Oryzias latipes: one gene and its partner. The protein of the gene in region 2 purifies or fractionates together with the protein of the main gene of each other region. This does not show direct contact. Links are inferred from orthologs where the notes say so. Each region holds a gene or a part of one and is shown on either strand. Other genes may lie near its edges. The genes, in order: cdk19 and med13l.

The links.
Region 1: the proteins of med13l (region 2) and cdk19 purify together in Homo sapiens (affinity purification with mass spectrometry; 5 studies listed by BioGRID and IntAct, counting the BioPlex papers as one, with this or other methods). This does not show direct contact. The link is inferred for Oryzias latipes from reciprocal best matches to the Homo sapiens genes MED13L and CDK19.

Annotation. Positions count from the first base shown.
Region 1 is NC_019882.2:10,351,435-10,355,898, reverse strand, and holds the start of cdk19 (cyclin-dependent kinase 19), read right to left. Parts: upstream 2,905-4,464; 5' UTR 2,632-2,904; coding exon 2,629-2,631; exon of another isoform or gene 2,555-2,628; coding exon 2,409-2,554; intron 1-2,408. Other genes in the region: amd1 (S-adenosylmethionine decarboxylase proenzyme), read left to right, coding at 3,908-4,029.
Region 2 is NC_019870.2:12,442,652-12,447,106, reverse strand, and holds the start of med13l (mediator of RNA polymerase II transcription subunit 13-like), read right to left. Parts: upstream 2,990-4,455; 5' UTR 1,783-2,989; coding exon 1,711-1,782; intron 1-1,710. UniProt on the Homo sapiens protein: Component of the Mediator complex, a coactivator involved in the regulated transcription of nearly all RNA polymerase II-dependent genes.

The DNA of each region.
Region 1 (4,464 bases), on a different chromosome or scaffold from region 2:
TCATTGACCGTACCGGCAGATGAGCCAGAGTCACAATGGAGTGTTGTGAAACTCATCGTGTAGGTATGTGGCTGAATCAGCAGCGCTGATCTGACCATCCCAGATGACGAAAAAAACTCAAACCCAGTCAAGACGTCCAGTTCCATACCACTTTCATCCTACATGTAAACATTTAAGGCTGCTTTCACACTTCACACAGTGTCTCCCCAAAGAAAGTCTGGGAAGGAAAGCGAAGCGTGAACAATAAAACAAGTTTGACCTCCTGATCCATTTAAAAGAACCTCCAGCTCATCAACACAATGGACGATCCACTGAAACAAACCCCATTCCAAGAATCGTCCAATGTTCCCTTCGTCCCTATGAAAACATGAATATACAGAGATTCTGAATCAACTCAAGCAGTAGGTCCCACAAGGAGTATTTCAGAACCTAACCGTAGGGTTCTGTCTTTTGTTTTCCATGGTTGAAAAAGGAAGAAAGAGACAACATTTGGATTTCAAAACAGGAGATTTTTTTAACTGGAGCTTTTATTGTTTTTATCGTTGACCGGTTTCTGAACTTTACAGGGTAAGATCAATATCTACTTGATTTATAAAATATGTGTGTGTTACAAACATTCACAGCTGTTTTATGAAACAGAACAATAATTCTTGTGACCCTTCTGTCGTCATGGGAACCAGAGATGACTCTTTAGCCACAACATCTGATAAGGTCAGTCTGCTTTCAAGGTTGTGAGCTTTTCTTGACGGTATGACATTCTGAGGCCCAAACGGTCCTTTTGTGTCCACCTCACGCATCCATCCATCATCCAAATCTGCTGAATACCTGTTGGGGTAATGGGGTTACTAGGGCCCATCCCAGCTGCTATTGGGCGAATTGGCCCATTGACTGCACATGACAACTGGACTGGGTAATCCCTCTCCCATCACATTCTAAATAGGAAGTACCTGCTGGTTCCTAGCAGCCCAAATCCCACAGACTTCTATTGAATAATAAACAGATATTACTCAGTCGTTCTATAGGTCCGAATAAACATTCTAGCTCTGCTACCCTTTTTAACATGTTCTTGCTAATCCTAATTTATTTTCCCATATTTTTTCTGTAGTGCAAGCTATTCACATTAATGACCAATCTGATGCCTCAATAAAAGTATGTGGTCTAACACGGAACGTTTGAAGCGTTTCATTGACAGATTCTCCTAGGCACGCTTTCAGTTGATAAAGGTGTGGACTTTCAACAAGTTCACTCCTGATTAGCGAAAGTTGTTGCCATAGAAACATTTACTCAGATCAATCACTGCTTACCAACATAGCAACATGCATATTGCAAAAAAAAAAAAGGCAACTGAATTGACTTCATTTAGTGGAACCAGAAGCAAGCCATTTTGTATGGGTGATGTCGGTCCAGTTCTCATTTACAGACAAGATCTGGACAGATCACCAGTCTGTCACAGGACCACACAACGAGACAAACTCACATCTAGGGACAATTTTGAGTCACCAATTAACCCTTGATTGTATTTTTGGACTGTGGGAGGAAAGATGAGTTCCTGGAAGAAACCCACACACACACAAGAAAAACATGCAAATTTCATACAAAAAGGTCCCAGCCAGGATTCATACCAGGAACTGCACGCCAAGAGTGCTAACCATGCAGCCCTATCAAGCTGCAGAAAAAAAAGTTCAAAATACAAAACAGCATAAAGTTCTAACAAATCTGTACCGATTTCCTACAAAACTGCAAATTTTAAAAGCAACATCATGAAGATCACCTCTGACTGACCACAGACTGATGAACTCCACCTTCAAACAAAAACCCACAGCTTCTGTTTTAAACTCCGAGCCTTCATGCCTGCTGTTTCAAAGTCCCACAGAGGGTCTATGAAACAGCAGTCATGGGAGCATCTGAGTCTTCCTCCTGCTCCTTTGATCTAACAACAAAGGTGTTGCTGGAGGTACACACGTGACAAACTATTACTAAAGTTTGACGTCTCTACTAGAGCCAAAGCTGCTGCCTAAAAAAGCCGCGAGGCGCAACGCGGTCACGTCGACCTGCGTCCGCGTGAACTCCCCCCCCCCCCCCCTCGATAAAAAAAACAACAACAACAGCCGCGTTGTTTTAACATTTCGTCTGGGACTTAGTTTAGAGGGGGGGGGGGTATTCGCGCGCATTTGTATGTTATGTGTATGTGTGAATGAGTGTAATCGTGGGGAGGGGGCGTTGGTGGGTGAGTGAGTGAGTGCGCGCGTGCGTTCCATGAAAACAAAAACACAGAGGTTTTTGCCTTGGTGGGTTTCGAACCTACCGAGCCGCGCGGCCCGTTAGTGAGATCTGAGACCGCGAGCAGCAGCGAGCGGTCGATATGAGACTTCGGAACAAAACAAGAACGTTCACGGTTATCTTCTTACCCGTCTTTGCGCTTAGCTTTATAAACGTGCCCGTAGGTGCCTCGACCCACTTTGCAACCTTCATATTCGAAAAGATCTTCCACTCTCTCCCTCTCCGCTGCCAGCTTTGTTTTGAAGTCGTAATCCATTTCAACCCATAAATACGTCTTAATTTACAAAAAAATAAAATATTAATTATTACATGCATTCATTAAATAATCTGGTCGTTTTATTCCCCCACCATTTCCTTGTTTGGGATTTTGGTCTGCTCCGCTTAATGTTCACTGGCTCGTTGACGTTTCTAATTGGCGCGTGTTGCCAGATGGGTAGTGTAGTTCCAATGGGACGTTGACACCATTGAGGAAACAGTAAAGAGAAGGAAAATAAACTACTACCCGCGTTTCTTGATGCGGTTTGTTGCACTTTGCGTACTAAAGAACTTTCTTCAAAAATGTTCCTCTGCTGTTTGACTTTATGGAAATTTTTGTCTGAAACATCAGCCATTAATTGAAAATATTATTTCCTTAAAACTTGTTTTACCACTAATAGTAGTTGCAGTATTCATTTTAATAAGAGAAAAAAGATTTTAAAAAGTATTAATTATGATGTAATAATTATTTGATTATAAATACTGTTGTTGTTAAAATCTAACTTTCTCCGTAAGTAAAAAAAAAATTATCAAAATTATTGTTGTTAAAATCTAACTTTCTCAGTGAGTAAAAAAAACCTGTTTAAAGAAACTACTATAATGAAAACAACTGTATGTATATCTCTTAACAAAGCAAATGCATACTAATTTTTATATTGCATTTATACGTTATAGCCTATGTGATCATAATTTTACTGGATAAAGGATTCAAATGAGGGGGGAACCTCAAATATTTTGACCTGTTACTATTGTTTTCTATAAAAGATAGAGTAGATACTGTCTTTTCATTATTTTTTTTTTTATATTCGTGGAGAAAATTAATCTTTGAGCTCCAAAATTGTAAGTAAATGTATTTATGTATTTGCTTGTATATTTAAAAAAAAACAATCAATCATCCACCCAAGTAAATTAGTACAAAATAAGTATTGATAGAAAAAAGACAGCTTTTTAATTATACTTTAGACTTTTACAAGTTTTCTTTAGACCTAAACAAGTTTAAAGAATAAACGAACGTGTCTATTACGTCACAGTGTTTGAGTCATGAGTGACAGATCCCTGGACCAATCATAAAGGAGTAAATAAAACCTCACCAGGAGAGTGGCTCAGCGCACCGCTGACGTAACGGCGTCGTTGTATAAAATCACCGCGCGCCGCTTCCTCAGTGCTCTACACAGTATGGCCGGCGATATTAGCTAGCGCTCGCTTACGTTGTTCTCTGCTACAGGGAAGACGGTAACTCAAGACAAGCAAACAACCAGATTGTTAAAATACTGTACCTCAATAAGTTAAAGCGAACCAAGGAACGACCATTTTAAGCTGTAAACCATACTACCAAGGTTTGACAGACTATTGAGGTGTCTGTTGTCTCATCATGATGATGGAGGATCAGGATAACGGTGCACATTTCTTCGAGGGGACCGAGAAGCTGCTGGAGGTCTGGTTCTGCCGCCAGGATGACACTAAGGGCACCGGGGACCTCCGCTCTATCCCAAGGTTTGTCTTCTCCGTCAGTCAGTGGTTTGGTCGTTAGCCTCCGGACCACATGCGCGGCCTCGTTGCTATGCTACGTCGTCGTTCCTTAACGTAACTAGTTGTTGTTTCCGTAAATAACCGTAAATGTCTAAAGCTTTAACTAGTGAAATTGTGGAGTTAGGGTCTTTGAGCCTGATGTTGGTTAGTTTGCAACCCTGGAAACAGTGGAAAATGGCCACCTCCCCCTAAGTGTGGTCCGTCAACGCTGAGTCATTCATCGGCTGCTTCGGGAAGACAGCAGCTCCCGAGTCGTGGTTGTCCGTCACCTGCTCGGGGACGAATCACCCGTAAAACTGTATGAATCCATTAGACTTAATGCCACCGGATCCGTGGAACTAACATCTGATGGATCCGGGACGTGTCCTGCGCGGGTTTGACCGCATCACCGCCGCTCCG
Region 2 (4,455 bases):
ATGAAGAAAATCCCTCTACTTGGCTCATAATAAGCCTGGGTTAATGTAATAAAACAATAATTGCTAAAACCTTCTTTAATTTAGCACAACTTTTGGACACATTCAATGTAAACATACTGGTATACAGTAGGGATTCCCTAATCGGTTTAATGGTGTAACATGTGGTTCGGTTTTTGAGTGACAATTGTGGTATCCCTAGAAAGTAGCTTTGTGCAGCTAGATGAATTTAAAACTGCAAGTTTTAAACAGGATAAACGTAAAAACCTGTAATTCAAGTCTTAGAATTTCCCATATCTGGACACGCAACCCATTTGTTAGTCTAATAAGTGAAAACAGGGTTAAGGGATGAATGCAACACATGGACAACTTACAAATATATACCCAACAACTGCAACTTTGCTAAAAATCTGTTGCTGTGTTGCAGAATCCTAACTTGCACCTCTAACCTTTCCCTGCACATTCCTTCACTGTAAACCCAACGATACATTTTTCCATCCCTACATTTGTCACTGTAGCCTCTAACCAGGACACTTGGTGTGTCATTAGTGTTTTGTCCCATCCAGGACTCCCCTGCAGGAACCCTGCCAGTGAGTAACTGCTGAGGCACTCGCCAGTCATAAATATTCTCAACAAGCCGGCTGATGGATGGTTTCGTTCACCCTCAGTTTGAAAGGGATGTTCACGATGGCCAATAAAGCCACAGTGAGTGAATGAGAGCTTTTTTTTTCCCCACAAGGGAATAGCCACGAATGAGACGGTGACAGAAATGCAATCGTTGTTTTCTATTGTGTCAAGCTGAGAAGATTTAAGACTGCTTATATTGGGATGCATCTCCCCATGAATGCGTAGAAAGTCACACAAGATGCTTTTAAAAAGTTAATGGGGTAGCTTTAAGTCCCACACACTCCCTGCTTTTTACACAGTGCTGTAAAAAAAGGAAATATTTCCTCACTCTCTTTGTGATCATTCGTTCAAACCTCCTTTAGTAACATGTTTTGTGTACCCTTGCAGTGATTTGTTTAATGTAATAGGGACTGTTATTGCTCCTCAACCTGCACCTCACCTGAAAAGCCCCCAGGACCCCTATGTTGTTGTGGTTCTCAGCAGCCTGAGCCCAGTCCACTGCATGCCTTTCCACTTGACTGCCTGTTGTGGTAAGACAGTTAACTCGCTGACTACAGGATGAAAACTGTGAAAACACTCTGCTCTTTTCTCCTCCGCCCTCAAAAACCAGAGTTGTGCACAAGAAAGCATGACACTGCACTCAGTCAAAAAAAAAAACCAACCCATTTTTTACATATATATTAAATGAAAGTGATATGCTTGATTGCCAAAAGCCATCTTTGTTGTGTGACATGTTTGTTTCCTCAGTGTTCCTGAGGTCATGGAATTCTTTTCACACATAAAACTATTATTAGGAAATATTTCAATAGAAATATATTTGAGAAAGACAGCTTCGTTTTTCCAATTGTTGGCAATAAATGCGTAAAATAATACCATAAGAAGAGTTCCTGCTGGTTAGGTATGTGGAGTGTGCCATCATAACAGCCTTACTGGAGATCTTTTGTTAATGATTGTCAAATAACATCAGCGTTTGGTTCACTTTTGCGCACAGACACACTGAAGCGTGCCTCCCACGGTCTTATGACTTTGTCGATCACAACTGCCTGCCTGCCTGTGTGTGTGTGTGATGAACAGGATTTATCGTACCAGAGAGAAGATGTTGGAGTGGCAGTCCTCAAGGCTTGCCCCGTTAGCCACCCAATTCGCCGATGCAGTCATAATCGTCCGCCTTTGGGGTCGTCAGCGCATGGCATGTCGAAATCCTACATCGGTTGCTAGCACCGAGCAGGGGGTGACGAATCGGTTCCCCTTGTGAGTCTGCCGAAACCAGCAGGCTTAAACCCTCACAAGGAGGTCCCGGATAACAGGCTGTACGGGATGGTCGGTGGAGGAATGGGCGTATTCAGAAAGAAGTGCAGAATGCATCCAATGAAGCCCGAGCTTTCTTGTAGCCTGAACGCAATAAATCCAAGCATGTGCGGGGATCACAACATTACAATCCGGTCCGGGCGATTCCACATCTGATCGCTGACGGAGAGCAGCTCCATTTCTTCAATCCACACACAAAAGACCAGACCCTTTCCAGAGCAGTCTGTCCGCGGATAGTTTCGTAATTAAATCACCATAATCCATCAGAGATCGAGTGCCGTCTTCTGCGCCCAGGAACAGAAAAATGCAAAATTACGCATCAACTTTGTTCTTTAGACGAACCGCATGCGCATGATCGACGGCGCGGAGAAATAATAAACGCGCAGATATCACATGCAGGATATCTGATTCCGTCTGCTCCAACAAGCTGATGCACCACTTGTGATAGTTTTCGAGAATTGCATGCGCTATTTATAGCCTTCTTTCTTGCCACAACCGTTCCTCTCACAATGTAACCCAGCCAGGCTCACACAAAACAGGCGCTGCGAGCACGAACGAAGGTTTTAATCCCTCTGTTGCTTTTCAATCAAACGATCGGGCAGGCTGTAGAATGAGAGAGGGGAGGGGGGGGGGGGGACAAAGTCGAGCTCAGAACCATGAGTCAAACCGCTCAGGCAAGAAAAAAGTAAAACACTCCAACAGCAGGAAAACGGCAGGCGACTGTAGACGGAGGTTAGAGAAAAAAATCCTTCCTTCCTTTCAGTTTTCTATCATTACGAAACGTCCTCGCGCGGCCACAAAAGCCTCAGTCTTGCTCAAAAACATCCAGTACTATTTCTACAAAAAAATGTACACTCGAAGCAGCACACACAAAAAAAGTGGCCCTCCTCGTCTGGCGCCGAATTTATTGACAGGAAAGAATATGTGGCGTGCGTTCGATTCCCCCCAATGAATCCGCTTTCTTCAAGAGAAATGAATTGATTGTTGATTTAAATCCTCAGACATGTGCATGATTTCCTCCACCGCGACTGCTCCTTCCTCATTGTTTATGTCTCGCAGCGGCGTTATTACACTGAGATGGGCGTGCGCAGCCCGAATGTGTCACCCTGTGCGTGCGTGCGTGTGCGCACATGTGTGTGTGTGTGTGTGTGAGAGAGAGAGAGAGAGAGAGAGAGAGAGAGAGAGAGAGAGAGAGAGAGAGAGAGAGAGAGAGAGAGAGAGAGAGAGAGAGAGTGGGCTTGTTTTTACTCGAAGCTCCAAAGCGTCTTGTTTTCTGCCGCAAAACCATCGCGCATTGTGATGTAATGGAGGTCTGAAGCTCAGAATCGCTTTTCCCAGTTGGCCAACTTTGTCATCACGTGACCTGAATCTGGCTTTTACAATTCAGGTTTCTTTGATGCAGCTTTAAGAAAAACAAAAACATGTGAAGTTGTTTTTTTATGGAAAATACCAATAATTAAGGCCTGTGTTGTTACTGCTTATTTTGTTAAGACGATTGATTCTTTTTTTAATACTATTACATTACTATTTACTATTACATAAAGGCCTATTATAAAGGTATACATATATGGGTCCTTCCAGAATTGGAGGACATTTGGGCTTCAAAATTCCTGAAAAGTAAACCTTCACTTTTCTGATCTTCTGCTGCATATCTATCAATAAGTATTAAACTGTCAAATGCTTGAATAGCTAAACTTACTGATCAATTGTACATTTTTTTATTAAATTATATATTTGTTGTTTACAACATTTTCCAAATGTTTTTGCAGGTAACAGGGTCGAAAATGTTATTTTAGCTATCTCTCAGGAGTGCAAGCCAGTTGTTTAACTAGCTGTTATTGATCACCAAGAGGACGAACTTACTCTTGTAAATAAGTAATTCTTCTTCTACCATGTTAAAAAGGTTATGGTAAAGGGTTGCATGTACATTGTGGGACACTTGTTCCTTTGATAACTGTTTTGTTGAAGATTTAAATTTGGACATAGAGGGGGTGGGACAAGGAATAAAATCGCATTTTTTTAGGGGCACTCAATGCTTATTTGGTATTTTTTAAACAATTGTAGGAATTCTTTTCTTGTAGTTTTTGTAGATTTTGTTCCAGTATAAGTCCTTTTTATTAACTGCAGGGTTTTTTTTTTGTTTTTGTTTTTTTTTGTATTTTGTATGCAGAACATTTCATAATGTGATGGTTGCGACATAAAATGCCCTCCAATTCGAAAATGACCCAAATACATATCTTAATATGCTTTAAGAGCGTTAAAATATATACTTCTCATTGACATTGTGAATGTTGGAACACTGTGCAAGTGTTTGCTTTGCAGTAAGTCTTGACTGTGGGTGCAGCATCCATTCACTCCACATGTATGTAACCTCTCTGAGTAGGATTACTTGAGTCGTCTCATTCTAATACATCCTTGTTCTTACGGTCCTGTACCTTATCAACTGAGCTGTATATTTGCTATGCACAGTAGCAAGAAAAAGTATGTAAACCTTTTGGAATTATTTGGATTTATGCATGACTT